Linked DNA regions of Alligator mississippiensis. The protein of the gene in region 2 purifies or fractionates together with the protein of the main gene of each other region. This does not show direct contact. Links are inferred from orthologs where the notes say so. Each region holds a gene or a part of one and is shown on either strand. Other genes may lie near its edges.

Evidence for each region.
Region 1: the proteins of SSRP1 (region 2) and MMS22L purify together in Homo sapiens (affinity purification with mass spectrometry; 3 studies listed by BioGRID and IntAct, counting the BioPlex papers as one, with this or other methods). This does not show direct contact. The link is inferred for Alligator mississippiensis from reciprocal best matches to the Homo sapiens genes SSRP1 and MMS22L.
Region 3: the proteins of SSRP1 (region 2) and TONSL purify together in Homo sapiens (affinity purification with mass spectrometry; 5 studies listed by BioGRID and IntAct, counting the BioPlex papers as one, with this or other methods). This does not show direct contact. The link is inferred for Alligator mississippiensis from reciprocal best matches to the Homo sapiens genes SSRP1 and TONSL.
Region 4: the proteins of SSRP1 (region 2) and CHD1 purify together in Homo sapiens (affinity purification with mass spectrometry; 3 studies listed by BioGRID and IntAct, with this or other methods). This does not show direct contact. The link is inferred for Alligator mississippiensis from reciprocal best matches to the Homo sapiens genes SSRP1 and CHD1.

Annotation. Positions count from the first base shown.
Region 1 is NC_081824.1:83,345,666-83,353,643, forward strand, and holds the start of MMS22L (protein MMS22-like), read right to left. Parts: upstream 3,055-7,978; 5' UTR 2,962-3,054; intron 1-2,961. UniProt on the Homo sapiens protein: Component of the MMS22L-TONSL complex, a complex that promotes homologous recombination-mediated repair of double-strand breaks (DSBs) at stalled or collapsed replication forks.
Region 2 is NC_081825.1:172,856,946-172,864,337, reverse strand, and holds the start of SSRP1 (FACT complex subunit SSRP1), read right to left. Parts: upstream 3,030-7,392; 5' UTR 2,956-3,029; intron 2,775-2,955; 5' UTR 2,635-2,774; coding exon 2,581-2,634; intron 1,489-2,580; coding exon 1,303-1,488; intron 495-1,302; coding exon 389-494; intron 93-388; coding exon 1-92. Other genes in the region: P2RX3 (P2X purinoceptor 3), read left to right, coding at 4,743-4,882. UniProt on the Homo sapiens protein: Component of the FACT complex, a general chromatin factor that acts to reorganize nucleosomes. The FACT complex is involved in multiple processes that require DNA as a template such as mRNA elongation, DNA replication and DNA repair.
Region 3 is NC_081826.1:1,588,142-1,595,065, forward strand, and holds the start of TONSL (tonsoku-like protein), read right to left. Parts: upstream 3,008-6,924; 5' UTR 2,935-3,007; coding exon 2,910-2,934; intron 2,476-2,909; coding exon 2,380-2,475; intron 2,052-2,379; coding exon 1,909-2,051; intron 1,814-1,908; coding exon 1,630-1,813; intron 1,291-1,629; coding exon 1,125-1,290; intron 1-1,124. UniProt on the Homo sapiens protein: Component of the MMS22L-TONSL complex, a complex that promotes homologous recombination-mediated repair of double-strand breaks (DSBs) at stalled or collapsed replication forks.
Region 4 is NC_081826.1:236,838,373-236,845,795, forward strand, and holds the start of CHD1 (chromodomain-helicase-DNA-binding protein 1), read left to right. Parts: upstream 1-4,348; 5' UTR 4,349-4,849; intron 4,850-5,685; 5' UTR 5,686-5,854; coding exon 5,855-5,907; intron 5,908-7,423. UniProt on the Homo sapiens protein: ATP-dependent chromatin-remodeling factor which functions as substrate recognition component of the transcription regulatory histone acetylation (HAT) complex SAGA. Regulates polymerase II transcription.

The DNA.
Region 1 (7,978 bases), on a different chromosome or scaffold from region 2:
TGGGAGCCACTGTGGTATTGTATACAGATGCCAGATAATTGCATAATTTGCTTAATGGACACATCAGTCCACATGTATTGCTATTTATACATACTGTAACAAAACTTTGGTCCACTGCATATTAGTTTCAGGCCTACTGGTTAGCATGCAATTTAATTGTACTGGGTTACCTCCATCCTAATTGTAACAGCCAGCCACAGAGCAACTGATTAGAAAATAAACTACAGAAGAGACACTGAAGGGAAGGCAGCTGCTGAAGGGCTGCTATCAGAAGCCTCGAAAACGATGGGAGCTAGTCACCTGCAGGGTTGCTACTTCCCTGATTTTCAAAGCTGTCAGCATCAGCTCTTGTGTTTCAAGGTATTTAACAGCAACCTCAAACCTAGCCATTAGAACCTATGAAAATGATAGAAGTTAGTTTGGGGACTGTTAATACCACAGCACTGATAGAGCTGTAATCTCTACTCAGTGGGCACGTCTATACGTGCCACTATGGTGCTGTTGTTACTGCACCATCATTTAGTACTTGGAAGTACTAAAAGACGGTGCAGTAACAGCCAGTAACGCGCTGTGCACACAGCTATTTTTAGGCACTACAGGCAGTCCTCAACTTACGTTTCTAGTTGCAATGTTTTGCGCTTACAACATTTATAAATTGACACCCTGTTTCAACTTCCTGACATCAGTTTTGACTTTATAACACTTGATCTGACATCACACCACACCAACAAACAAGTTCGCTGCATCACCCATCTCCCTGGAGAGTGTCTGTCCAAACTTCCTTGGACACTTCCTTTAAGAAAGCAGACAGAACTCCAGAAAAACCTGCAGCCAAGACTCCTGAGAAGACTCCAGCCCAGAATGCTTCAAAAAGTCCAACCAAGAGCCCTTCAAAAGGTCCAGCAAAGTCACCTCAAACAAGTCCTTCCAAATCAATATGATTGCTATTTACATTATTGTAGCTATATTACTCATCAATAACTGACTGAGTACAAAATTCTGGGTTATTTTTGGTGAAAATAGGGTATTGGGCCTTGGTTCAGGAACCAATCCCTCATTTATAATACTGTTTCCTATGGGAAAATTGGTTCCAAGTTACAACGTTTTGACTTAAGACATGGTTTTCAGGAATCAATTGTGTCATAAGTCTGAGGACTGCCTGTACATTGCTGTAGCGATGCACTACAACAGGGACATGCTTACCCGTTATAGTGTGTCACTACAGCAACGTGGCTGCTGTGTCATGGATTTTGCCCTTGGGACACTACAGTGATGTAGCATCACATGTAGATGCGCCCAATAAGTACAGTTTTCCCTTGATTTATGCTGTACATGTGTTCCCAGAGAACGGCACATAAATCGAATTTGCATGAAGTGAACCCACTTTGCAATGTAATAAATAGGGATAGGTTCCCATGGTGGTAAGGGAAGGAGTGAGGCTGGGACTAAAGAAGGAGTAGGGGAAGGGTGCCATTCCCAGGGCTACACAAGGCAGCAAAGCAAAGGGAAGGGAGTGGCACTCACCCTAGCCCCAGCTGCAGTGGCCCCGGGACCAGCTGACTGCACCATGTTCCGCTGGGCTGCACCATGTTCCGCCTGCCCCACTCACCTCTGCTCCTGGGCTGCACCATGCCCTGGTACAGGCAGCTGGTGTTGGCTGCTCCCGGGGCCGCTGCAGCTGGGGCTGGGGTGAGTGCTGCGCCCCACACCGCCCGGGGCTCTGCTTGTCCACACTCATCCCAGCCGGTGCTAGAGCAGCCCTGGGAGCAGACGACACCAGCTGCCTGCACCACAGCATGGCACAGCACAGCCCAGGAGCTGGGGTGAGCCCAGGCAGAGGGAGACAGGTGGAGCTTGGTGCAGCTCAGTGGTTGCAGGCAGCTGGCGCCAGCCACACTTGGTAGGGGGGTCCATCTATGCTGATCACATAAGAGCAAATTTACCTCCCGTATAACCAATTATGGGTCTAAATATGGTCATCGCATTCCATCCAGGAAGAGCACACACCAACTGCTGAAACTTCCTTAGCCTGACGAAGGGTTTTTGAACCCAAAAGCTTGCTCAATAACTATTCTCCAACCATTTGGGTTGGTCTAATAAAAGATATCAAATTCACCCACGGAACCCTGTCTGCCATCGCATAAGAACAAATTCACATATAAAGAACCCACATAAATCGAGGGAAACCTGTACACAGCACTATCAGTGTTGCACTGTTAAAGTCCCCAAACTAACTCATTCTCCACATTTTCAGGAAAATCCTAACAGCCTTTATTCAGTCCTGAGGCCACACACTTAAGCAAAGGACACTTCACTAAGCAGAGGAAAACATGGCTGTTCCCGACAGGCTGATTTCTGACATGGCCCAAGGCAAGGCAAAGCTTTACCCTCAAGCCTCCTTGTCCCTGGGACGGCGCCCGTCGAGACAGGCTACCAGAACCGCAACACACCGCGGCTAGAAAGTCATCCTCCAACCCCCAAATACCAATTTCTTTAGGAAGGAAAGGTGGGATTCCCGCGCGCTGGAAACACAGGCTGCGGGTGCTTGACCAGGAAAGCACCTGTTCGTGCGCGGCTTCCCCAAGGACCTGCGGCCAGCTCCGGTGCTGCGCATAAGCCGTGTGTTCTGGGTACAGCACACCCCACCACAGGGAGGTGCAGACAGGTGCTGGGGCACCCCGGGGTGTCTCCAGCTCCTTACAGGGGGCTCGCCGGGCCCCTGGGTGGGCAGACGGTACTCAAAGGAGAAGCCACTTCAGGCAGGGGAGACCCTTGCTGTGGCCTTCCCCAGCCCCCTGCAGCACCAGCCAGCTCCAGTCTCCAGGGATAAGGGGGAGCTCGGGGGGAGGGGGGGGGGGAAGCGGCCGGCCCAGGGGCCCCGCGGCCACAGCCCAGGGTGTATGGGGGGAGGGGCGCGGCCAGGACCCCGGGGCGGGGGCGCAGGCGCGGAGCGGGCCGTACCTGCCGGTCTCCGCACGTCCTCCCAGCACCCGGTGCTTCCCGACCCTTCTGTCCGTCCCGCGCGCTCTGAGAAGGCCTACTGCGCATGAGCGCGGGGCTCCGATTGGCTCAGGCTCCTTTGCCACCCCTTCCGTCTTGGCGTTGCCTGGGCCCCGCCCCGCGACCGCGTGCGGCACCGCCCCCAGCCGCAGCCCCTGTGTATGGGCACCGCCCCCCACCCCCAAATGTCCCTGTCGGCAGGACACCGCATCTCCTTCTGCAGCTCCTACTCTCTCCGCTCCCAACGGGCATCAGCCAGCGTGAACGAGGGGGCCTGGCACCCCTTTCTTTCCGTGTGTGCGCGCGCACACGCACACTCCAGCCTGACAGCTTACACACACACTCTCCAGCTAGTGTGGACGCCAGGGCCTGGCACAGACCCTCCCCCACTCCAACCTGACACCCCCCTACACCCCAGCCCTACACCCCAGCTAGTGTGGACGCAGGGGCCCGACACCCCTATACACACACACACACCCCAGCTAGTGTGGACGTGGGGCCCTGACCCTCCGCCCCACGCTGCAGCCCGTGTGGACGCGGGGGCCTGACCCGCACCGGGACCCACTCCCACTAAGAGGCCCGCGGAGGAGCCCATGAAGAGACGGGCGCGTGGCGGGGGGAACACCCCGTGGGTCCTGCCGGGGCCAGGATCCGGCCCCCAGGGAGCAGCGTGGGAGCGGGGAGCGGGCGCTGCCCCTCCGGGAGCCGCTCCCCGGCGCCGCTGCCTGGGAGCAGCGCCTGAAACTTTCAAACCAGGCAGAAACGTTCCTCTACAGAAAGCAAAGGAAAAGTTGTGGTGTCGTGAGCCGGAAGAGCCCCTCCGCCCCCTCTGCTGACTGCAAAGAAAAACTCTTCTGTTTGTATAACACCCCCCCCCTTCTAATTAAAAAAGCAGCACATCACGGCTAACTAAAACTGTGTCCGGGATAACCCTGATTTCCATATGCAGATTTATCTACACTGACAGCCCCCTCTCCCTCCCCCTCGGTCTCTGTGTTTCCCTCGGTCTTGCTCTTTCTATTTGCATTGTGTCTGCCTGATTTTTCTGACTCCTCTTTTTCTTGCTTTCTCTCTCTCCCTGTTGCACGCACAGGCTGAAATAACTCGACGAAACCGCGAGACGGTTGCTGCAGTCACTGTCTTTTAGGAGAGGTTGTGGGGGATCCAGGAAACCTCATTGCTAAACCGCCTCATCCTTTCCAGCCCGGCTCGGGGATCCAACTTCCCCAGGTTGGGTGGGGATGAAAAAGGATCTGGACAGACGTGGGAGGGGAGAGCACTTTGCAACAGCTGCAACCAGCGGTGCTCATTGCCAGATGTGCGGGGGTGGGGGGGGGGGTTAGCATGAAAAGGCAGCACGGGAAAAATATTAGGAGACAAAAGCGGCAACCTCAAGGATCATTTGCTTTAGTTAATATGGCAGCAGGCGCCGGGTGTGGGGGAAGATCAACATGCTGCCTGCTCAGCCGGACTCCTCTCCCCGCGAGGATGAAAGGAGGTGATCCCGTGCCAGAGGGACCCGAGGTAAGAAACCTGCTTCTCCTTCCTGGGTTTTAGAAAGTCTATTTCTAAAGTGCTCTTTTGAAACAGCTTGTCTGCTCAGTTTCAACTCACTGGCAGGCAAAACAGAGATTTATCTATTTTTAAAAGAAAAAAAAGTTAAAGCACAAGGTATTGGTAGTCGATTCAAAACGATTACTTTGGCCATTATATCCATTCTATTTTTTCCCATACCTTCTTTGTATCGAAAATGGACTTTAATAGTGACATCATGGGTGACTGCTGATGCTAAAACTGATTATCAAAAGTCTTAAAACCAACCCCCCCCAAACTTTGCAATAAAAAAAATGAACTACAGCTTCATGTTGTGCATTTTTCTATTGCATCTTAAATATTAGACCTCTTATTAAAATGATATTGGGGGTTTCTATTTAGCATGGAAGCAGTGAATGCTGCAATAATTAAGTACAGTGTTTAATTTGGCTGTTGTGAAGCAAAAGAATAAGGTAATAATTTTTATTGTACTAATCAGACTCAAGATGTTCTCTGTGTTAATTGGGTTAAAAAATTGCAGTACTTATTAGAAATTCTAATTTCACAATGCAGCACTGACAATAAGCTCAGCCAGTGAATTATTCACATCTTTAATTTGCTCACTTAATGACAGTGTTCTGTAATCAGAGTGCAGAGACTGCTTCCTATGCATTATGTATGATGTTCAGGACTTAAATGCAGGACATTATGAAGCCTCTCAGTAGCTCAGTAATTAGTTTTCCACAAGACAGGACTTAGATATTCACAGATAAAAGTCTAGAGTTGAGATAATGTTAAGGTTGAAACTCAGACTGAAAAAAAAAGCAGGGAAATTCAAAAATAACACTGCAACTATGTTCTCATCCATTGTGCCTCGGTGTCAAGGGGGTGTTTTAAAGTTAGCACGTGATGGTACTACAATATGTGCTGTGATACTTACCTACCAGAGAGCAACTGTTTGATTTAACTTGTTTCTTTTAACAGCTTTTGGTTGTTTGTGGCTGACAGTCCCACCACCCCTTCAGTTCAGTATAATGTTATTTTAAATACATAACAAAGACTTGTTTTTATTTATTTAAAGGAGGCAGTTATGAACACATCAGCCAGCAACCACTTGTAGGAAAATATAATAATGATTAATTATATTTTAAAGAATTTCTTAATAGTTGATGTTGAGCCCAGAACTTTATAATTTCTATCAAGCTATTCTGGTTTTTAAATTGTAACTAGTTTGCTGTGTATGCTAACTTTGGGAACACTTACTACTTACCACAGGGCTGTTAAGACTTTTTTAGTCTATAGTGAATAGGATATACATACGTTGAAATGTATGCTGATTTTGAAAATTATACTTTTATTCACTTTTAAAATATACCAATTTTAGAAATGCTGTTGTGGATAAAATACAAATCCTTTTTTTCTTGTTAGCACTGACCTGGTATTATAGTGTTTTAACTGAAGGGAGCATACATGATTTTGTCGTATCCCACTTTTCTCGACTACTGCAAAATAGGATGAGGAAAGTTGAGAAAAAGTTAAATATTTTTTTTCATATTCCAGCACTGGTTAGATGGGCTACTGTACATTTGTACAGTAATGCAATGCAATGTGGCTGTACTCTGCCATGTCCCTACGTTTAACAATGTGGGCCTTTCTCCCCAAATGGTACTTGTGCAGATTTTCATTAAAACACAACCGTTACTGGGCAAGTTTCTTATCCCTACATCAGTATCCCACTTGAAGTTGAGAATTTTAGTTTCAAAGCTATTTAATTTGTATCCCTAAATAGATATCTTTATGTATTCCATAAAGATATCTATATGGATTAGGCTTTGCAGGATTCATCCCTTAATTTAAAAAAATTAGCTGCCATGTCAAGTCTAAGCATTTTTTAAAAATCAGAAATAGAGTCAGGCCTAAGAACTACATCTAGAATATTAAAATACAATATGGACATGTTAGTTTCTCTTTTAATTCCCCAAATTCAGTGCCATCAACAGCTAAAAAGTTTGCTGAGTTGTTTTAGGACCTGATCCTGGAATAAACTGACCTAAGCCAATTGCTTATAGTTGCCTATAGTCTTAGATGAGGGCTGTCTAAGTGACCCGTGATTGGTTAAGTCATGTCTGATGGGGCTAGAACTTCTGCAGTGTGGGGAGCAATGGTGGTGTTAACCCCTATACCTGCCAGAACCACTGTGTTGGCAGGCCCAGCAGTTAAGGTGTTAATGCTGCTGCCATTTGCCCCACCACAGAATTTCCTGTTTAAGATCTGGGTTGGGGAAGCCTTTCAATGGTGGCAGGGCACAGTAGCTTAACTAGGGGTGGGCAAGAGGGGCGCCTGCCCTGGATGCCAAGTTAAGAGGGGTGCTTGAATCACACCCCCACCCCTATGGAGACCATGCCCCAGCAGTATATCCATGCCAAGAACTCCAAAATGGTCCCCAGCTGCTGCTGCTTTGAAAGCAACAGCCAGGTTGGGCAGAGCACTCTGCAACTCAGTTAGGGACTGTTTAGGAGTTCCCAGAATGAGTAAGACTGCTGTCCCCCATCTCAGAACCACATCCCCCTCCCCCAGTCTCAGAACCTAGGTGCCCCTCTGCTGCTGTTTGAACCGTACACCCTGCAAACTCTTGGAATTGTGCATCTTGCCTGCCCCCAGTCTCAGAACCCATGTCCCATTCCCTGCGCCACCCCCCTGCTATTAGAGCTGTACACCTCCCCCTCAACTCTCAGATCTGTGTAGTCTGCCTGTCCCCACTCCCAAAACCATGTGTTCCCCTACCCCACTCTCAAAACCCTCATCCTTCTTGCTCTTAGAACCCTTGCACACATCTCCTCATCTCTCCTTCAGCGTTCTCCCTAGACATCAACTGTGCTTGTTATACCACAGGCACAGCAAGTGACAACATTATTAACCCCATGGGTTCTGGTAGCCCTGCCATCAAATTTCCAGGTCGAGATTGTTGATGGGGATGCCTTTTGGTGACCGAGCAAGTGATGGGGCACAGCCAGAATGTGAGGGTTAATGATGGTATTGCTGGCTCCAGTGGCAGAGATGGGGTTATCAGGCTCAGGAGAAATGCAGTGGTCCAGATCTGGCCTGCCAACCCAAATGATAGCTCTGATCTCAGACCAAATCCTGAAGAATGAAGCTCCAGATTGATTCATAGGTATTATAACTCACATACTTACATCAGAATGTGAAGGCTTGTGTACTTGGGGAAATCATCCAGACGTGCTGTCTAGGATAGCAGTATACACAGAGAGGTATACTGGCAAAGCTGACAGCATTCTTATATAATTGCATCTTAAGCAGTGACCTGGCCACAAGTTCATTCAATTAATTGTGTGATAAAAGCAGGAATAAGGAACAAAGTAATCACACAAAATACATCTAATAATATTGGTGTTGGTTTCTATCACATCTTTAATTGAACGTGTGG
Region 2 (7,392 bases):
CACTTCATTCTTGCCCGTTGTACACTGTGACACATTGCTGAGAGGGATCTCAAACACTGGCTGCTCCCCAATGTCAAAGGAGAGAAGCTGGCCTGCACAGAGCAGTGGAAACCAAATAGATTGGCAGGAGTCACCAGACTGCCCCACACGGTGGGGGATCCCAGCCAGTGCCCTTTCATGAGCAGGTTCACCTTTCGTTGATCTTTTCTACTCAACCATGGCCAAAAGCAAAATGCCTCTGCACAAAAGGGCAGAACAGCAGGTTCCTCTCTCTCAGCTTCACTCTTGCCAGCACGCATCATTTGCAGTAGGGCCAAAATAGTTTCACTGCAGCGCCAAAGATGTGCCCCAATTCCACTCCCTCCCATCCAACTTCTCCCCAACTCACCTCCAAACCGCACAGTTCCCCAGTTCCACCCTTTCACACACAGGTCCTTCTCTGCCAGTTCCAGGCGATAGTGCGATTTAAAGAAATCTGAGAGTTTGTCAAACTCCTAAGCGGGAGAGAAAACATAGATGAAAAGTGATTATGAACCTCTGGCTTAAGCCATACCTCTTACCCCAACCCATACCAAAGCACTGGACTTCCTTCCTCTCCGACAGAACAGACTAACGTTAGTACCACAGCAATGCCCCTGGGGTGATGACAAAGCAGCTGAAGGAGACTCTAGCAGGAATACTCATCCAGGAGGTGGCCTGGTTGTAATTTGTAGTGCTTACCAAGAAGCACAGAGCAGACCAGAGGTGGACAAAACGCGGTCCGCAGGCCATTCTATCCGGCCCGCAGAGCCCATAAAAAAAATTCAGAAAATTAATATTTATCTGCCCCTGGCTGCCTGTCATGTGGCCCTCGATAGCTTGCCAAAACTCAGTAAGTGACTCTCCGCCTGAAATAATTGCCCACCCCTGGGGTAGACCCTGCTATTATATTGAAAGGACAGCAGGGAGGAGGTGTTACCAGTACTGAGTCTTTGCTGGACAGTTCATAGGGAGAGACTCAGGTTCAGAAAGCACTGGCAGCTCACACAGAAAAGCTGAGAGCCAAAGGTCACAACAAACTGTATGGTCCAGGAAAAAGATACACAGACGGTAGGAGGAAGGGGTGCATGATTAGAACCCAACAAGATGTAACACTCATGAGGGCATGAGCTGCACGCCTAGCATCCAGCAAGAGGCTAAGAGACCATATGGAGGGGGGAGCATGTGGTCCCCCCTCCACTCTTGAGAAGACAGGAGGTCTCCCCCACAAGGACACCAGCTGCCACCTCTAACCCTGGTCACTATCAAAAGAAAAGGACTCACCGATTCCCTGAAACCATCATACTTGTAGACGTGGCCATTTTTGGTAATCAGTTTGAGACCATGGCCCAGCGCCACACGGCGCCAGACACCCTCCGACAGCTCCGAAGCTTGGATGTTGTCCACTTTGCCTGTCTTGCTGTTCTTGAAGATCACACCTTGGCGACTCAGGCGCAACCGCCCATCATTCTGGCAGGAAGAGACACAGAGGTTGGTGGGCAGGAGCCAGAACCTCCCCCACACAGGCCGTCGCCCATGAGCAAGATATGAACAAAGTGGATAGAGCCAGGGAGCGCTCCCTGAATCACCAGTAGAAGCCAACCATCCTCTTACGTTTGAGCCAAGGAGGCCTCACTACCGCTCCTTTTGAAAATAAGACTGTATGCATCTTGCAGGCCAGATGTAACATACCAGCAACCCCACTCCCTGGGCAAAAGGCACCCCAAAATCAGCCATTCCTCATCCTCCAACAATGACTCCCACAGAAGCTCCATGGTTTAGGACACAACCAACCAAACTGGCACTGTGTGCCCTGCATTCACACCCTGTTTTGGCTTTAAAAACAACCGACCATTTGAGACAAGAACCCTCCTCAGCCGTATTTCACAGGCACGTGAATCAGTTGGGAACATTTACGGGAACTGCAGCCACACATTCAGATGTCCCAGGACTCAGATAAGTTAGCTTATGAACCTTAAATCCCTGCACACGTATGTGGTCAACCAACAAACAGACACACCTCAATCTTAAGTTTCTTGTGCAAGCCAGATCCCATGCTACAATCACCCAAGTCGTGGACCCCTCCCACAACCTCTACAACCCGATTCAAAAGTTTAGGGCAGGAAGTTACGAGTCTTCCCTTCCCCAGATAAAATGCCAGCTGGGAACGCAGGCAGGATTCTGGGGCTACGGCCCCAGTCCCCTGGACAGCCTCAAAGCCCCTTTATTACCCCACAGATGCTAAACCGAACAGGGTCCGATCATGTTGTGCCTCCTCTGATAGTAAGCCAGCCCCAGTCCCAAACGCTGGTGTCAGCATAGACTCCAGGACGCTACCTCCCTCCAGGCAAACAGGGAGAAGGTCCCAAATTTAAGGGCCTGACACAGGGCAAGCCTCCTGAGCCTGAAGCACACCGTAAAAAGGAGACAGGCGAGAAGCTGGGCCACGTGCCCCAGGCCCCTGCAGCAGGTGCCATGCGGTCCCCCCCTCCACTGCACCCTGCAGCTGTCCAGCTCAGCCTGGGGGCAGCCCCGGGGTCCCCCGCCCCCTGCCCCTCTCACCATGGACCCTTTCACTTCCTGGTAGATCTCGTTGAACTCCAGCGTGTCGGCCATGGCAGCTCCTGCCCCCTGCGGCCCGCGCCCAGCTGGCAGGGCAGCGCCTGGGGCGGCGGGACCCGGCGGGGAGGATGCCCAGGGCCGTCAGCACCCCGCTGCAGCCGGCGAGCACCGGGCGTCGGCCGAGCCGGAGGCACCTGGCGGCGAAACGGGAGGGATGAGCCCAGGGCGGCCCCGCGGGGGGGAGGAGGCAGAGCGGGCCGCGCACATCCCACCCCCCACCCGGGGTGCGCGGCACGGGGGGAGGGCACGTGGCCGGGGGGGGGCAATCCCCCTCCGCCCGATCCCCGGCCCTTGCCCCGCGCCTCCCCCGCTCACCGGGGGTCACTTTCCCGCCTGCGCAACACGAACCCCGCGCGAAGCTTCCGCCACCGGAAGATGCCCCCACTTCCGGCCCGGGCGGCCATGGCGACGCCGCAAGCCGCTCTAGGCCGCCAACTCTACCATAGAGCTGTGGGAGGCCTCCGGCAAGAGAGGGCGCGCCGGGGGAGGGCGGGCGCTCGGGAGCATAGAGTGTCCGGAGGCCTGAGGCTAGAGAGGCCGCTTGGCGGCCAAATCCCCTGCGTAGGGCTGGGAGGAGGTGGCGGCTGTGGGGGTGCTGCTGCGGGGTCCGCGGCGCCTGTCGCCATAGAGTCCTGGGAGAGCTCTGGGCAGAGCCCCCCCCACTCCCCCGGGATAATTAAGGCGACCCCCGCCTGGTCAGTGTCCCGGGCTGACGCGTCCTCAACCTCAGGATGGTTCTTGCGTCACAGGGTGGCCACGTGGCGTGGTGACGTCATGACGTCCACCTGTGGCATCACCACTGCCAAGCCCCCCTGCCCACCCCTCTGGCTGTGGGGCCAGCCCCTGGAGAGAAGCAGAGGGGATGCGTGCTCCCCCTCCCCTTGCAGGGTGAAAGCGCCCCGGGGTGTGTCCAGGGGAGCCTTCATGGCCCCTATGAAGTGTGACCAGCACCAACACCTCCAGAGCATGAGCTGCTGTGACCAGGAGGGCCCGGCGCCAACACTATTCTCTACTATCCCACAGCAACACTCGTGTCACCGTCACACTGCATTGCCACCACAGGCTGCCCTTCCGTGTGTGGGTGATTACACCAGGCACCAGCCCTGCTGAAGCAAGGGGCAGTGGAGTGGAGCTCCGTGATACGTTGTGTGCGCTTGCTGGAACCGTCGTTCCCATCACACACTGTGTCCCAGCAGAGCCAACACTCCCGGACGTTCTGCTCAAGGCTCTAACACTCCAACCCACGTGGCTGGCTGGTTGGGAGTTCATTGTGGTGCAAGCACAAAGCCTAGTGGGTAGCATGGCCAATCTGTCCCTGTAGCTGTGACAGAGGACTGGAGGAGGGGGTTGTCAACCTCCAATAATCAGATGAGTCCTTTCCATGCAGTCTCAGCAGAGGGGCTGCAATCAAGGCCTGCATGAGCTCTGGAGGGATAAACACCTCCCTCACCCTTCAAGAAGAAGAGCTAGGCATGTTAAGAGGCATAACACAGGCAAGGCGGGCATCTGGCTTGGTCGCGTGCCTGTTCTGCGGGTAAATGGACCATGTTAGTCTTCAGGGACCATTTTTACCTGCTGCTCACCAGCTGCTGATTTGTCCCCAGAGAGATCTGTATTTGCTTAGCTTCCTCCCCCTTCCTGTTGGCACAGAGTTGGGATGGCAGGGGCAGTTAACTGAGGGTGAGGGACATTAGCACTGCTGGGCAGGGAGAAGCTGCTGAGCTGAGATGCGCTAAGTGGATTCCTCTCTGGAATCATCAGGTGCATTAAGGACCTACTCGCTTGCACACACCAGGGAAGCTGCTTGGCAATGAACAGGCTATGAAGCCCCACCTTTTCCTGCCTCTCCCCACCAGCATCACTGTCCTCTGAGAATGGGGGTGGAGACTGTATAAAGGGGTCTCTCAGCTCCAGCCTGCCCAGAGTAGCAGCAAGGCAGAGGAAGGCTACCATCTGGATCCCAGGTTTAAAGGAGCAGCCCTCCCAAGTAGCTCTGGGAGCATCACCCATCGCTCCACTGATCTCCCATCCCTGCCTTGGTCTCAGCATCCCATCTCGACGGGGCTAGCAGGCATTAGCCAGTTCTTCCCACGCTGTGCCAAATGCCCACGGTCTCTTCCGGGATGAATTGTGTAGCCAACTTCTTCACCTATGAGACCACCAAGTCAGTGGTGGTGAAGAGCTGGACCATCGGTGTGATCAACCGCGCCGTGCAGCTGCTCATTGTCTCATACTTCATTGGGTAAGTGCAAGGAGCTCAGCGCTGGCCTGGCCAGCACCCTGACAACCTGTGACTGGTTCCAGCCTGGAACAGGGTGAACCCCAGAAGATGAGAAGAGTTTCCCTCCAGCAGAGACCTGTCCAGTTGTGATCCCTGCTCCTGAAGGAGAAAGGGCAGGGGGCAGGGACAGGCTAACCCACCCTAACACAGAATCCTTTCTGAGGACACCTCCACAAGCACACATGTGTAAATGGTGGGTGGAAGGGGTACTTGCTGGGCAGGGTGGAATATGATTGACTCACCCCCCACCTGCAGTGAGTTCCCATCCTTCCCAACCCCCACCCTTCCCCAGCCTGGGAACAGCCAGACAGCTCTACACAGGGGAAGAGGGTGGCCTTAGCAACTCCAGAGTCCCCTCTACCCAGAGCTGTCCTGGGACTCTATGTTGACAAGCATATATGAGCTCCCAAGGAGTGAGAGGCATTTAGGTGAACTGAGATGGTGTGGAGCTAAGCATCCAGAGCAGGAGGGTGAGATTCAGGATTGGAGGGGAGAGAGAAGATAAAGGGATGATGACAAGCAGGAGCACAAGGCTGTGCAGACGAGCGGGGCTGGAAAGTGAACTCTAGGCAGACACAACCAGAAAGGAGGCTGAGGCAGGTGCCTAGGGTGAAGAATTTACATCACACACAGCCCAGGGTTCCCTGGGACCTTCTTGGCATTGACATCAGAGAGGGGGTTGCAAGGGCAGGACTGTGGGATTAAGTGTCCAGGCTCCCACTGCTCCAACTCAGAGTGCCAAGCACTGTCTCGTCTGGCCATGGAGACTCAACTATCCCCTGGCTCCACCAGTGTTCTGAATCGACATGCATGATATGTTTGTGCATAAATGCATGCGTGTGTAGTCAAGTATGTGTGTATGCATGTAGGGGGGTTGTATGGAGAAACCATGGGTTCAGGCTCATTTACCCTGTCCTAATTCCCGCAAACACCCCCCATCAACCCTTAAGGGGGAATGTGCAAACCCAGCCACTGTGTTCACCGCCATGGTGGCAGAGTCTGTCATGGGGACCAGCAAGAATGCCTCAGAGTGAATGGGTGGTGGAAGTCTCTGCATGGATGTGTCCAGAGGCAATGGCTGTGGGTGGGAAGGAGTGGTGAGAAGATCACACATGTATGGGATGGGGTGAGACACAGTGACTGTGAAAAGGGTGCCAGTGTGTGTTCCTGCGCAAATATGAAAGGCATAAGCGGAGGGAGAAAAAACTATTTGGGGGTGCTGAGCATGCATGTACCCCCCCCCCAGTAAGTAAGTCTATGGGGGAAGGGGTGGGGAGAGGGTAAAGGGCTGTGGGGAGCAGATCGAGGCCCCCATGGTGAGGGAGTGGGGCACGGGCAGGGTATGGGGCTGGGGTGAATGGGGCCCCAGCCAGGCCAGGTTGTGGGACAGTCAGCCCAGGCAGCTCATCCAAGGGTGAGGGGGGCTCCCACCACTATGCACACCCTGGCAGAGGTGGTTGCTGCTATGGACTGGGCTTTGCTCCCTGCTGCCACTGCCTCCAAGCCACACAAATCCACGTGTGTCCTGCCACTGGGCGGGCAGGAGGTAGGGCGCAGCCCAGCAGCAGCAGGCATGTGGCATTGCGCTGCTCCCAGGGCAGGTGCAGCAGGGTATAATGCACAGTGTGCAGTGGCAGCCACCTCCACCCCACACACAGACTGGGGAGGAGCCGCCCAGGCTTTGATTCTCCCACCACCTGGCCCAGCCAGGGCCCCATTCACCCTATCCCTGCCCCTGCCTGTGCCCCACTCCCTCCCTCAGCACTGGGGCCTCGATCTGCCCCCCAACACAGCCCTTTCCCCTTCACCAAATTGACTGGTACTTGCCTGCCATGCTGGGCAGCCAGTGATCCACAGGCCGAGCTGCGATTCTGGCTGCATGTGTGCCTCTTCCCACCCCTGCTACAGCCACCTGAAGCCCACGGCTGGGCTGCCTTGTAGCCCTACCCACTAACCTGCGTTTGAGGGGGCTGAGCCCTGTTAGTGCCAGTCTTCTGCTGCCTATGGTGAAAGGGGTAACCACATGGAGGAGGCGGAAGTGTTTGCATGAGTTTAGGGGGTGACCACATGGAGGAGGTGAACGTGTTTACATGAGTGTAGGAGTGACAACAGTATGGGTGTAAGTGTGTGTAGGTGCCTTTGCAAACCTCAGATGGGTGGATGGATGCATGTGAATCTTGGGGTGACTGTGACCCTGGGAGTAAAGGACTGAAAGAGTGGTGGGTGTGACAATACATGTGTGTTGGGGGGATGGTTACTGTGCAAGAGATGGAAAATGGGGTAGGGGAGTGAGGTGAGGAAAAGAAGACTTTGTGCATCCTAATGTGATGGGTGACAGTGTGATTGGTGGATTGACACTTGTATGTGTGAAAAAGAAGAGGCCATGGGGTGTATGTTAACATGAAGTGTGACCGTGTGGGTTACTGACTGATGTGTGAGTGTGTGAGAGAGAGGGAGGAAGGAAGGGATGA
Region 3 (6,924 bases), on a different chromosome or scaffold from region 2:
GGGGAGGGTTAAAACCCCCCCGACACATGGAGCAGGAAGGTGGGAGAGGCAACCAGAGTATTGCTGCACTTTTGGGCTCCATGTTTTAAAAAGGCTGTGGAGAAGTGAGAAAGGGTCCAGAAGCGGCCACAACAATCCCTACAGCAGAGCACGGGCATCGCTGCGCCTAGATCACGCCCCACCAGTGCCTGTCCAAGCCTCTCCTGCACACCTCCAGCGACGCAGTCCCCCCTTCCCAGGAGTCTCTCGCGTGGCCCCTGCTCTGACTGAGAAGAGTTTCCTGATCTCTGATCTGAATGGATTTTGCTGCAACTTCAAGCCGTGGCTCTGTGCCCTCCTCTCTGCAGCCAGAGACAAGAGAGGGGACGCTCCTTCTCTGGCCGCCCATCAGGTGTTTGCAGGCTGCTGTCGTGGCCCCTCGAAAACGCTTTTTCCATAAGCTGAATCTGCCCGGCTCCTCCAGCCTCTCCTCGTGTGACTTCCCTTCCAAGCCCTTGATCGTTTGGTGGCCACCTCTGGCGCCTCTCACTTCTTCACTGCCTTTTTAAAACGTGGAGCCCAACGCTGCATGCAGCTGCCCCGGGCGCACGGGCACGACTCTCCACATTCACGTGCACATGCACACCCCACAGCCACCACCCCCTCCCTTATGCCACAACTACCAGCCCCCTCCTCCAGCAGCTCAGCAGCCAGGTGGGCAGGCAGCAGCAGCAGCAGCAGAATAGGACTTGGGCCCCTGGTACATGTTACATTTATCACGCATTTAACTGGTGAACTGTGCAATAAACACAGACCAGTCACAGGTGCAAAGCAACGAGAGCAGAGTAAAACGCCTCTTCTGCTATAAAAAGAGCCAGGCAGCTATCAAGTGCGTGCCTGAAAGCGTGCGACAGCTCTAAAGCCGGTTTCGCCCCAGCTTTCACTTGTACGTGTAGCAGGGCCAAGGCAACTCCCGCGCCAGCCGGCCGGGGACAGCAGCACCCAGATTAGACTGCAGCGCCCACAGCAAGGGGCTCCCCGCTCCACCTGGCTCGCACACCCCGGGAAGGGAGCCAGGCCCCAGGAGGAGAGGGCGGGGGAAGCTGCCACAAGCCCCAGGAAGGGGGCAGGTGCTTGGTTCTTACTCTGAGATGAAGATGCTCTTCCTGATGTACTGGCTGCACTGGCCCTGGTCCTTCAGGCTGTCGTAGACCAGCCCCAGGTTGAGATAGAGCCGTGCCCGCATCTCGCTCCGCTCCCGCGGCGGCACCTCCCCTGCGGCACATGCGAGCTGGCCCGTTACCGCGTTACCTGGTGGGGAGCGGCACGCGGGGCGCCTGGGCAGAGCCAGGGCACCAGGGCCAGGAGAGTGGGGTGGGCACAGGCTGGACGACCACGTCCCACAGGGTGGTTCTGCCCCAGGGAAGGGCCTGGCACGCGGGGCAGGGAAGCCAGGGGAACGGTGCTGATCCTGCCCCACATGGACCCCACAAGCTGACCAGGGCTGTGTATCCCATAAGCCCTTGCTGTCACCCATGGCAGGGCCTGGGCACCATCATCCAGCTGCTATCCTGGGCATAGGGCCGGCTGGGCAGCCCCCGGTGGGGGGGGACAGGACACAGGCCAGTGGAGCAGCCCAGGGGGCCTCACCTTCCAGCCTCTCGTCCACGATGGCCAGGCTCCTCGTGAAGGCCTGCTCGGCCTCCCGCAGCGCCTCGCCCGCCTGGCTGCTGTCGGCGATGAACATGTAGGTGCGGCCGATGGTGGCCCAGGCTCTCTGCTGCTCGGCGTGGTTGGCGAGGGAGCGGGCCAGCTCCAGGTGCTGGCGCTGGTGCTGCGGGACAGGGCGGGAGTCAGCCCAGCCCTCGACGCCCGCTCCCCCTGCTCAGCAGCTCCGCAACCCCCCGCTTCCCGCGGAGCCTGGCCCACCTTGAGCGCCGCGTCGTAGCTCTCCAGCTCGGCCAGGCGCTCCCCGATCTTCCGGTGAGCCACGGCGCAGCCCAGCACGTCCCCCGCGCTCTCCAGCAGGCGCAGCTCCTGCCGGTGCTCCTCCAGCGCCTCGTGGTACCGCCCTGCCGGGAGCGAGGGCAGGTGAGCGGGGGCAGCCCCGGCGGGGAGGCTCGCGGCGGCCCCTCTCCCTGCTGCCGAGGGCAGGACGCGGGAGCTGGAGCCGGGCGAGAGCCCGGGGAGGGGATCCCACGTCCGACGGGGGCGCAGGGCCGCTCCCCCACCCATGCTGCCACGCGGCGCGCCCGGCACGGCCCGCTACGATGCGCGGGGCAGCACGGACGGGGCTGGGGTCGGACTAACCCCGCGTCCGACCTACCGGGCACGCGAGCTCCGCCCCTCGCCCTGAGACCCCAGGGGCCCTCCCCTGCTGCTGCCCCCCCCCGCACTCACCATGTCGGGCCAGCGCCTCCCCCAGCTGGTTGCAGACGGCAGCTTCCTCCTGGGGGCGCCCCCCGCGCCGCGCCCGCGCCTGCGCCTTCTGCAGCTCTGGGGGCGCAGCGGGGGGTCAGCGCCGGGCCCCGGGGGCACCAGGCCTTGCTGACCCCCCTCTGCCTGGCACTGCACCCCTGGGCTGGGCCCCGCCCCCTCCAGCCCAGGCCCCGCCCCCTTCCCTTGTACCCCTCCCCTTGCCTGATCCCCCCTCTTGGTGTCGACCCCGCCTTTTGACCAGGCCCCGCCCCCTTGCGCTCGACCCCCTTGCCTGAGTCCCCTCTTGGTGTCCAGACTCCGCCCCCTCCTTCAAGGCCTCGCCCCCTTAGTATCTAGACCCCGCCCCTCCTGCCCAAGCCCCGCCCCTTAGCTTCCAGACCAGCCCCCCCGTTTACCGGCACCCCTCTCCGTGCCAGAGCCCCGCCCCTCGGTGTCCAGACCCCGGCCCTCGCGTAGCCCCCCGGCCGCCCCCGCCGGGCCCGGGCACTCACGCCGGATCTCCCGCTCGCCGCTCATGCCGCCGCCGCTCTACGCTCTCCCGCGCTGCCTCCGGGGCAGCCCTCGCCACCCGCCCATTGGCCGCGCGCGGGGCAGCCCCGCATCCTCATAGGCGAGCGCCGCCGCCACTCAAATCCCGCTGGGCCAATCGCAGCCGAGTTCGCACCCGGGAAGGGAGGGAAAGAACGCCCGTCCTCATTGGCCGGGGGAGACTCCGGCTGCAGGACTACGAGTCCCGGCATGCCGCGCGCCCGCCCCGCCGGCACCCTCATAGGCCACTCAACCCCGCCGCGACGTCTCCTTCTCCCTGGCCTCCAGCGGCGGCTGGAAGCGTCCCGGCATGCTGCGCGGCGCTGCCGGAAGCGGATGGAACACTGAAGTGGGGCGCCATGCTGCCCCACGAGGTCCATTGGAGCCCTCGAGGATCCCCGTCACGGTTCTCCTGCTCGCCGCCACCCGGCCCTTGTTTCTCCTCCTGCCCGGTTTGCAGCCCCCGTGCCCGGGGTCCCGGGACCGCAGACCCCTCCCTGGGCCTGACGGAGGGCGGCCGCGCCCGGATGCCTGCCCGCTGAGACTCCAACGACTGGACGGCAGGAACGGCCCCGCGCTCCTGGGACCGCCCGAAGCAACACGACCGCTCGCCCCGGCTCCCGCTCGGCTGCTCCGAGGCACCCCCGGCCTCGCTGACCCACCTGTGATAGCGGCGACCGCTGCGGCGCCTGCCTTCCAGCGCCCGGGCCAAGGGCCCCCTGCAAGCGACCGAGTCGGCACGCCCCGCTGCGGGGCACTGGGCTGGCGCCATCGAGCCGTGCAAATGATAAACCTCCGGAGCGATGGCGGGGTTTTGTGCACGTCAGGTTCACCCGCAGCCACCACGATGGATCCCACCGGCCGGCGTTGACCACAGGACGGTGACGCTGCCACCTTTGTCCAGACCTTGCCCTTCAACCCATCGTGAAAACTAGGCTGTGACGAAACGGTTTAGAGCAAGACAGCTGCCAGCAAGCGGGCGCGGCGCAGGGGAAGCCGTCCTGCTCCCAGGCGCTGGTGCGGGATCCTGCGAGACCCGCTCCCGGCCTGCACGGGGTGAAGATCTCTGCGGCGGCGATCGTACGAGGGCTGACGTCTCGCTTGATATTGGGAAAGAGTCTTAGTTTTGGAGCTTGTTGGCAGTTGTTAAAACAAGCCTTTCTGCTAGTCGTCAGCCGAGCATTGTGTCACTTCATAAGACACCAGGTTAAACGTTCGGTTTCTAAGTGGAACTGCGTCTCCCCCCGGCTTCTCGGTGCAGCAGCACTTTGGGGGCTCGCTGTCCTGTCCGCTCCCCGAGACCAGGCCGATGCTTCTCCCCTCGCTGGGCTTTCCCCCACGTCCTCTGGCTCTTTACCTGCGGCTGCTGCTGGGCTTCAGTCTCCATCCCCGGTGCCCCTAGTTGAAAGCCGGGTGAGGGTCCGGCTGCACTTCTCCCTGCAGCTCATGTGTCTGAGTCTGGGACCTCCTGTCACCCTGTCTGGGCTCCAGCCAAGGTCTCCGGAGCAAGGCGGTGCAGGCCGGGGCCACCGGGGTGACCTGCGTGGCTCCAAGCAGAGCTTGTGGGCAGCATCCACCGGCTCCACTGCCTCCACGGGGCAGTGAGTGCTGGCCAGAGCTCCCTCCTTGCCCTGGGTTCATCACTCGTGCCCTGTGCTCTGGTCCTTTCCCCCTCCATTGCTGACTGGGACGCCTCAGTTGTGCCTGCCTCTCCCTCCAGAAATCCTTCCACCTTATAAGGCTTTGTCCATTTTAGTCGCACCAACTTCCTGTGTTTCCCTCCCAGCTGCCAGGTCCCACGGCACCTTGAAGCCACCAGCGGTGGGTGGGGGACGCTGGTGGAGTGCAGCGGATACGGGTGCACGGATGAAGATTTTCTTGGCTGATAGCTGATGGTTAACCAGCCACGTCGGTAGATGCCGATCTGGTGACTGGTGTCTAGTAAGAGTGCAAGGCAGTTTAACATAAATCTTTTCTGGGGGTTTGTTTTTTGAGTTTGTTTTGCAAATCTTTGTTTTGACTCAAATCTTTTTTTGGGTGTGTTTTGCATTTATCTCACACGCACACTTTTTTCCTGCAAAAATAACTATATGTATATAACTCCACCTCCAACACTGCCAAGTGGCCACTTGGCAGCTCAAAGCACACTAAAATCCCATTACACAGTTCACTCCGTGCACCCATACCCATACCCACACCCACTTCCCTCCTGAGAGGGTCTGCTCCTGAAAAAGTCAGTGCCAGACCCCTCCACCAGATCAGCTCTGACACTTCCTTCCTGTCGTCCTCTTTCATCTGCTGGTAGTACCAGTACATTTCACCGAGTCCCATTTTAATGCAGTCCTCGACTGCGGGGTCTGGGTGTCTGTCTGTGAGCAGGTTCCTGGCTTTCCACAGGGCAGACCTGAAGCAGGAGATGAGCTGGTCGAGGGTGCTGTCGCAGCCCCTTGCTGCTTGCTGGTAGAGAACCACTTCCCTTGTCAGGTCTCTGATCCCTGTCACCAGCGGGAGGAGCGCACGGACTTTCCTTCACACCTCTGCGGCGTGTGGGCAGTCCCAGACATTGGCGATGCGTAGGGGGTGCACACGGGTGAACAAGCAGCCCCTGAGATTGGCCGTGCACCCCTGGAAGCGCCAGCCGTGAAAATGGAAGTGTCCTTCCTTTTTCGCCGGTGGTGGTTCCCCAGAGTAGGGAGGCACCAGTTGCCCGTGGTCCCAGAACAGGTGGTTGATCCTTTCTGCCTGTCTCAGGCAGTTCAATGGACCTCTCTGCCCTGCGCTGTGTCTCCGTGCCCGCACGGGGGCAACAGGTCCTCGATCTTACCCAGAACTAAGCAGGTGCTCTTGCTCACGTTGAGCTTGGCCCCTGCTGCTGCTCTGTATACTTGGGTACGTTGTAGTGCTCGTTCCACTGACCCTTTGTCCCTGCACGTGATGTCCAGGTCATCCATGTACAGGAGGACTTTTGTCTCCTCCCCATTTCTCCCAGGGATTTTCACTCCCTTGATCCTGCCTGAGTCGTGCTAATGGTCCTATTACACAAATAAAGGGATCGGGGAGAGCAGGCAGCCCTGCCTGATGCCCGGCTCTACCACAACGGGGGCTGTCGGGGACCCGTTCACCAGGACCCTGCTGCTCATCGCTGGTGCACAGTGCTTTAATCCAGGTAACAAAGGTTGCAAGGACTCCCATCTTTTCCAGTGTCTCTAGTAGGAAGCGATGGGATACCCGGTCGTAGGCCTTCTCCAAGTCGAGGTTCAGCACAGCCACGCTCTGTCCCTCTCCCGCTAGTACTGGAGCGCGTCACGCTGCTGCACCAGGGCATCGTGGATCTGTCGCCCTGGCACTGCGCACGCCTGGTCCTCGTGGACCACTGCACCTACAACAGACTTAAAGTGCTCAGCCAAGACTTGGGCAATTAGTTTGTAATCAAAGTTCAGGAGTGTAATTGGGTGCCAGTCTCTCAAGTCCCACCTCTCCTGCTTCTTGTACAGAAGGGTTATGAGGCCTCCCTCCATCCCCGCTCCCAGGTGGCCCTCCCGCAAGCACTCCCTATAGACCTCCAGCAGGTCTGGACCTGTCTGGTCCCAGAAAGCAACACAGAAGTCTTTGGGCAAGTCGTCTGTGCCCAGAGCCTTATTGTTCTGGAAGCTGCAGAGCATTGCATTTATCTCCTCCAGCCTCCGCTCCCTCACCAGCCTCTGTCCCTCGTCCTTCCCAAGGACCTGCGTGAGCCTTTCCAGTCAGTCTTGCATTGCCCCGGGGTCCTCCGGTCGTGCCACGTAGAGCTCTCGGTAGAAAGCTGCCGTCGTCTCCAGCATCCCCTCGTTCAACTGGTGCTCCACTCCGGTTCTGTCTACCAGGCTGGTCTTTGCGTCTTTCTTGGTTTCCTTTATTTTGCTAAAATAAGCAGGCCACTCCTCCCCATCCTCCACCCAGGACCTGTGTCCTCTTAGCCTGCGTCCACCAGGCTGTGTT
Region 4 (7,423 bases), on a different chromosome or scaffold from region 2:
TCCACCTGAGACTTCCTGCCATCCATCCATTTAAAACTGCACTTTGCTTACACCAGTTGAACCAATTTTGTAGCTTAACAGTAACTCTCTCTTGCCCACATTTCTCCAGTTTGAACCAGGTTAACTGATATAATGCCCTAGATCTGTTTCTTCTTCCCTGTGTTTTCAAAGATGGGCAATCCATCAGCTCTTCTCCAGTCCTCTAGGACCTTGCATATTAACTGTGACTTCACTTGATCTGAAGCGAAAGGCTGAGAAGTATTGCCAATGTATCCAACATTTTTTTTCAACTGTTTTCTTCAGCATACTGGGATGACTTGCTGATTTAAATTAATTGAAAGCTGTTAAAAAAATCACTGCTGTGCTTTTTACTTATAACCTGAGTCCTTTCAGTCTGTTTATATTCATTTTGTCAGAGGGTTGATTGTAGTTTATATTTTTGTGTATACTATGGCAGCTCTATTTTTTTCCTTTGTATCTTCTTTAATTTTATTAATTGACCATAGAAATGGAGTCATTCTTTTCTCCCTAATCTATTTGTAGAGCTGCTTGAGCTCTTTAACCTTCCTTGCAAGTAGTATTTTTTTCTGTCCCTACGTGTCTTTGTCTTTACTATTTCTTGTTACACTTCCTTAGTGACTCACCATTCCTTTCACTGCCTCATTTGATAAAAGGTAGCTAAGAAGGTCCTTGTGTAGCCCAAAGCTGTCTGGTTCTTACCTTTCCCTGGTGTTACTGTGTTTCAAGCTCAACTGCAGATCACTCTAAAGTCATCAGAACTGTTTAAAATTAAAGCCAAACCAAATTCTTCTCTTTCTCTCTTAAAGAGAACAAGCAGATAATGTAACCTAGAAACCAGTGAGGAACAAAGAAGAACCAGGATCTCAAAGTCAGAGGCTTGCCCCTTGTGAAGCCATTCCAGGGCTGGCTACAAGAAGTCCTTCTGGGAGGTAGACCAAACAAGGTTATATCTTGGGTAGTCCTGAGGCAGAACTTCCCCTGAAAGGGGCATGAACTGTTGCAGTAAGATAAGCATGTCTTCTATGCAGGTTTTACACTACTTTATTTAACAAATTTGGAAACAAAAAAAAAAAACTGCGGGCCTGGACAGATGAGAAATTCAGCAAGGGAGGACTTGCTCTTTTTCCACTCCTCTCTTGCAGTAAATGAAACTACACTTTGATATTAACCTTGTTTCTTTTTTTTTTTCTTTGGGGAGCGTGGGTGGGATTTCCAGTTAAACTTCCACTCACCACACAATAGGACTAGTGGTAACTGATGGTAACTGATGGTAGAAGTAGGAAAGTGGAGATAAGGAGACAATACTTTTTCAAAGGAAAAACAAAAGGAAAAAGTAAGAGAGGATAATACTAAACCTTGTTTAGTCCAGGGGAAGGTATTATTTGAAGTATTCTTTTCCCCAAATTCCACAGCATTTAAACAATTAAAAATATCAAAAGTAAATATCTAGATTTTACCGTCTTAAAGATGCCAAATCTAAACAAAGTAAGCCAACATAAAATTGTCTTTGACCTGTGAGAAGTGTTAAATTGAATTACTTCAAGGTTAGACCTTAAAACAAATTGAGTTAGGTGTACAAGTGTGCATGTAATTTGTGCAGTCTGTGCATGTAAATAAATATGTTAATGACTTAAACTAAACCTTGGCTATATCATGCCTTTTTAACTTTTCCTTTAGTATGTGATACCTTATAGAATAGGAACAACATTATGGTCTTGATTTTGGGAACATTTAGAGTACATCTTCAGTAGATATGCTTGTGACAACTGCTAAAATAACTAATCATTTTATCTGGGGGATGCTGCCTTACTTCCATTTCCTCCATACCACTTTATTCAAGGATTTTAAAGATATTACTGGCAATATATAGATTTACTCAGCATCTTTAAGCATCATTTGGAAAGACTTTTAATTACCTTCTTTGGAGAGAACAAATAATTCGAGAAAACAAACAAACTGATTTTTGGGGAAATAAAGTGCTTTCATTTTGAGTAATTAGGGGTTTGTAAGGAATGTTTAGAAGCCAAGGAGGTGAATGCAGAAGAGTGTGTTCCAGTAACATTTGGTATCTTTATTAGCATTTGATTTCTGGATACTTAGTATTAGTCAACTGTATTCTATAGTTACAGTAATTGGAGCATACTTTCTTCTTTTTGTTACCCATTTTTCCTTCCTGGGCAGTTTTGACCCATCTTTGAACTAGGCACAATGTAACAAGTGGTTGCTTTAAGACTTGAACTCAATTTCTCCTCAGAGGATATCTTTATTATTATTATTATTGCTTTCCACTGCTTGCATGTAATGGTAGATGCATTTGTAACAAAACAATTCCTGCCTCTTATGGGTCACATCTGCTTTGTAGGGATAATTTTTAATTTCAAGTTTGATATTCCAACACTGAAGTCCATAAGCATTTTGCAACTGGTTTCAAGGGGAAAAGCTGATTCCTATTGTCCACTGGAAACCACTTTCTAGGTTATATCATCTGGCTGTTCTCTGTAACCCAGATATCCCCGGCATCTAGTCAACTCTCAACCTTCATAAACTACACTTAAAAAAATCAATTAATAATATAATTTTAAGGGATCAACAGTCATTCTGATCATCTTGTTTGAACTCCTGCATGCTACAGCAGTTGTAATATCATCCAATAACTCCTGTAGCTTATAATTCTGGTTGAACAAAAATAGTATCTTTTAGAAAGCCATCTAGTCTTGACTTAGACTTCAACTGATGAAAAGCCACCATGTCCCTAGGAAGGCTGTTTCATACAGAAGTCACCCTCACTGCAAAACAATCTTATTTCCAGCCACTGGCTCTTGTTGAGTCTGTCTGCTAGGCTAAAAAGCCCTCTTTCAAATCTTTGCCCTATGAAGGTACCTTTAACTTGATTAAGTTGCCCTCCAACCACTTTTACGTGTTCTGCAAAGAGGTTTTCTAAACTCTGAATCACTCTTATGCTCTTTTCGGAAGACTATTACTATTATTTTCCACCCCAAAAATGTCTTCACCTATGTCTTCAGGTGCCAGGCCTTTAAGTTGGTCTATTTTGTTTCAATGTGTGGAAGGGAGGAGAAGGCCAAGAGCAAAAGTCTTTCTTTTTTCTCTTAAGATGCTGATGTAACTAGGGTGAGGCAAGCCCCTGCCTGGGTCTTTGTTTCCACAGTGGAACCTGATTATGATGGAGCTGCCACCACAGCCAATCAGAAATGCCCGGTGCGAGGTTCTGCTCTTGCCTTCTGCAGAGCAATGGTTGGGAGTCCAGACTGCCAGCGTGGTGGTGGTTTCACTCCTCGCTGCCTGGAGTAAGCAGTCAGGGCAGGGCGGTTTGGCAGTCCAACCTGGTAGGTAAGTAACTACTGATAGGTGATAGCTGGCTCCGTAGATTCGGGAATCTGAGAGGTTCCTTGGCACCTGGCTGCTGCTGTTCTTGATACCCTTGAGTCCCAACAAAACATCACACCACCAAAGCATCACACCACCAAAGCATCACACCAGACTCTCCAGCCTGTTGCCTTTCCAGGTTATCAATACTGAAGGTCCTGAGACCTTTTCTCCTTTGTTACCATGGAGGTGAATAGTTCTTGCTTGCTTCATGCTTGACCTCCTGGGAAAGCAGCTGCTAGGCCTGCTATCTGGTTCGGTCAGTAAATATCTGGCAATTTGTGCAAGGCAGGTGAAGTATCCTCACATATAATGCCGTGTGTGAGCAGGAAGGGGGGGGGGGGAGAACTAGCAGACAGGAAGGCATCTCTCCTCCCCAAGGAGGAGGGTTTGGAGGTGATGGGGTGCAAAAGTGCTGTCAGGTTTTGCTGGGTTGAGCCCCACAGCGCCTGCTACAGCCCCCCTCCCCGATTTCCTAACCAACCTGCGATTCCACATATCTTGCTGATTCCCCCCATGAAACTTCTTGTTCCTTTAAAATAAAATGGGGGGTGTCAAATATATGGCCTGTGGGTCAAATCCACCTTTCAGAGCCCTGCTGTCCAGCCCCTGGTGCTGGGAATTGTCCCCTAGGGCACATGTGGCACCCGCCCTGGCCGGCCCAGGCCACGCGTGGCGCCACCGCAGCTGCCCCAGGGAAGGCACCACGTGCAGCGCGGCTCCCAGCAGGGCCGGAGCGGGCACAACACGCGGCCAGCGCCCCGGCCCGGCCCGGCCCGGCCCCGCCCCATCGCGCGGCGCAGTCCTTGCTAGGCCGGCGTGCGCTGGGGGGCAGCAGGCCCCTGGGCCGGGCCACATGAGTTGGAGGCCCAGCCTGACCACAAGGATCAGCCGGCGTCTGTGGGCTGCACGGAGGTGCCCACAGGCCTGGGCCCGGGGAAGGCGGCGCGGGGCCTTCTCGCTCGCGGTTGCCGGAGCCTTTCCCCGCCGTGCGCAGCCGCAAGGCGCCGGGGGACAGGCTGGGCGCCCGGGGTCGCCCGCACCCTCCTCCCCCCGGGCCCGGCTGAGGCCGAGCTGCCCCGGGACCTGCACGGCCTGGCTCTGCTACGCTTGGCTCCGCCCCGGCCGCTCAGTCCGTCCCTAGGCGCAGGCTGACATCACGCCCGGGGTTTCCACCCGACCGCGGGAGGGAGGAGGAGGAGGCGGCTGAGCGGAGCGGAACGGAGCGGCGGCAGGAGCAGCGTGATGGCGGCGGCCGGCAGGACCTGAGGAGTGGCGGCGGCGGCCCGTGTTGCCGGCGGCCCGTGCCCGGCGCGCGGCTCATTGTTCCCGGCGGGCGGCGGCGAAGCGGCGCAGGCCCCGCGGCGGCGGCCCCAGCACCAGCAGCGGCCGCGCTCCCCCTCCTCCCTCCTCCGCAGGGATCGTGCGGGCCCGGCCCGCGCAGGTAGGAGCGGCTCTGGCTCTGGCCCTGGCCCTGGCCCTGGCCCTGGCTCTAGCTCTGGCTCTGGCCCTGCTGGGGAGGGAGGGCGCGGAGCCCGGGCCGATGCAGGCCGCGCCGGGAGGGAGGCGGCGGGTCGGGCCCCCCTTGCCGAGGGGGCGGCAGCGGGCAGCGGGGCCGGCAGCTGCAGGGGCCGCGGCAGCGCGGCCGGACACGATGGCAGGCTCCTGGCGAGCTTCTGCCGCCGCCGCCATCTCCTTTGTTCCGGGCCGAACTGGGTGCGCGGCGTGGGCCGCTCCCGCCCGGCCGGCCGGCCGCGGCACCTCGGCGCCCCTGGGTGCGGCCCCCCGCCTGCTCGCGGCCTGGGAGGAGGATGCCTTGGTCGCCCTCCTTGCGGGGCTGCAGCAAAACTTATGCATCTCAAGCTGCGCCATGAAGCGCCGCATCTGCGTCCGCCCCCCCCACGCTGGGGTATTTTTTTAAGGAGAGCTGAAACCCCCCCTCGCTGGCCTTTACCTGGCCCCTGTAAGCATCCTCTCAAAGCCACGAGGCCCCTGTCACTGCACAGCCCCTCACCCCAAAGTATTTTGCGCAATGCCTCCTGGGCTGTAAACTTCGATTCAGGTTTCAGAGTGGGGCGCGCAGGCAGGCGCTCTTTGTTGAGGCCTTTCACATGGAGAAGCGCTTTTAAATGGGAACGGGACCGTTGAGCGACGTGTCCAAATCGAAGAGTTTGTGTGACAGGCCAGCCTCTTCCATATCCTTGGGGGTGGCGTGAGGGAGGCGGGGGTCATGGAACGCTTCAAGTCGTGTTAACCTTATGATATCCACCTCTGTTTCAGGTAGCGTGAGAAAAAAAAACTATCTCTGGTCCCTGCAGTGAGCAGGCAAGCAAACAAGCTACCTTGGAAGACGCACGTGGGCTACAAGGAAGAAGCTTAGAAAGTGGACTTTTTAATACCTGACTTTTAAAGTGTTTGGACTTATATTTTAAACTTCTGAGTATTTACAATGAATGGGCACAGTGATGAAGAAAGTGCAAGAAACAGCAGCGGAGAATCAAGGTAAGTCCATGCCATTTCAGGGTTTTCTTTGCTATCCAGTTGTATCATATTTTATTAGAATAATTGTTCTCAGAATAATTCAGACTACAATGGTTTGGGCAGAGCACCCAGCCTAGTAGGTTCCTGCATCATGATTGTCGCTTTAGCACCTTGATGTCAGTTTTGTTAGCTTATGGTTAAACTGTGAGTTTTTACTTATCTTCTGTTGTTTGAAATAGTGTATCTGGCATTCTTTAAGCGCAGTGCTGTATAGTAACTGTGAAAAATAGTTTTTTTTTCAAATTGAGAAAACAAAGCTCTATGAGAAGCGTTTTGTTGTTTATAAGATCAGGTTTTATTTCTGCTTCCAGTATGCTGAATAGAATCAGGTATTGGAAATGGCAAGCTGTGTGTCAGTTCATAGGAGTGTAAAATACTAATTAAAACAAACTTTAATTCTGCAAGAGGATGTTGATCTTTAGGACTTTTTAGTTCCTCCTGCCCTGAAATATGAAAACTTTGGGCTTCACCATAAGTTTGACACAACCTGCTTGAAATGCATTTCTTACAGTTAGAAAATGTATGGCCCTTATTTTTATGTTATTTTTAAGTCAATAGGCACAGAAAAGATCATATGATTTTAAAAATCCCTAGTCTTCAAACTTTGTTATGGATTTTAAAGATCTATGTAGCTGTCTTTTTAGAAGAACCTCCCCTTGCTGTAAGGGAAGTTTTTTTTTAGTATGATAGATAACTGCAGTTGTTTTTCCAGACCAGAACAACAGATCGGCCTTCATAATCTTAGGCTGTTTTTTGGTTTTAATAAACTGAGGTAGGACAGTTGATCCTTGGGTTAAAACTGGCATCTCTGGATTTTTGCTGCCTTTTTGTAGAGCACAAGTCGCCCAAAAGAGGGTGAATTGCACAGGGGAGAAGCTAGTAAAAAATATGATCTTGAGATTGAAATTGTTGTTATGGTGATGTGAACTGCTTCTCTTTCAGTGGGATGTTAACTCTTCATTATTCGGGTTTTTAGTTCATTAGTTTTAACTTTCACTAGGCAATTTAAGATCCTCTGCCACCACACTCAAAATGCCCAGGCACACTTGGCTAGAATTTTAAATGTGGTGCTCTACATCCGTGCTTGAAAAGGACAGCGGCTTTTTATTACTTAAAGAAACTCCATGAGTTCTGCTTAAAACACAGAGAGAGAATTCTGTGGTTGGGGGTGTGGAAGATCACAGTTTATTTTGTACGGTAAATCTCTTAACATGCATTTTATGTAATGAGAACTTCCTGCTATACTAGACACTTCTAGTTATCATTTAGCAATGACAGAAGAATCCAATTCTTGTTTTAGTGCTTGATGATGATTCACTTTAACTTCTGAAGATTACTTGTGACTAGGTAAATATTGTGCCTTTATTGCAAGCAGCAAGTTTGGGGAGCTTCAGCTATGCGGGATATCATAACCCTGCTCATGTACAGAGCTGTACTTTGTATTCTCCCTTTCTCAAAACTTGTCAACGAGGCTGGC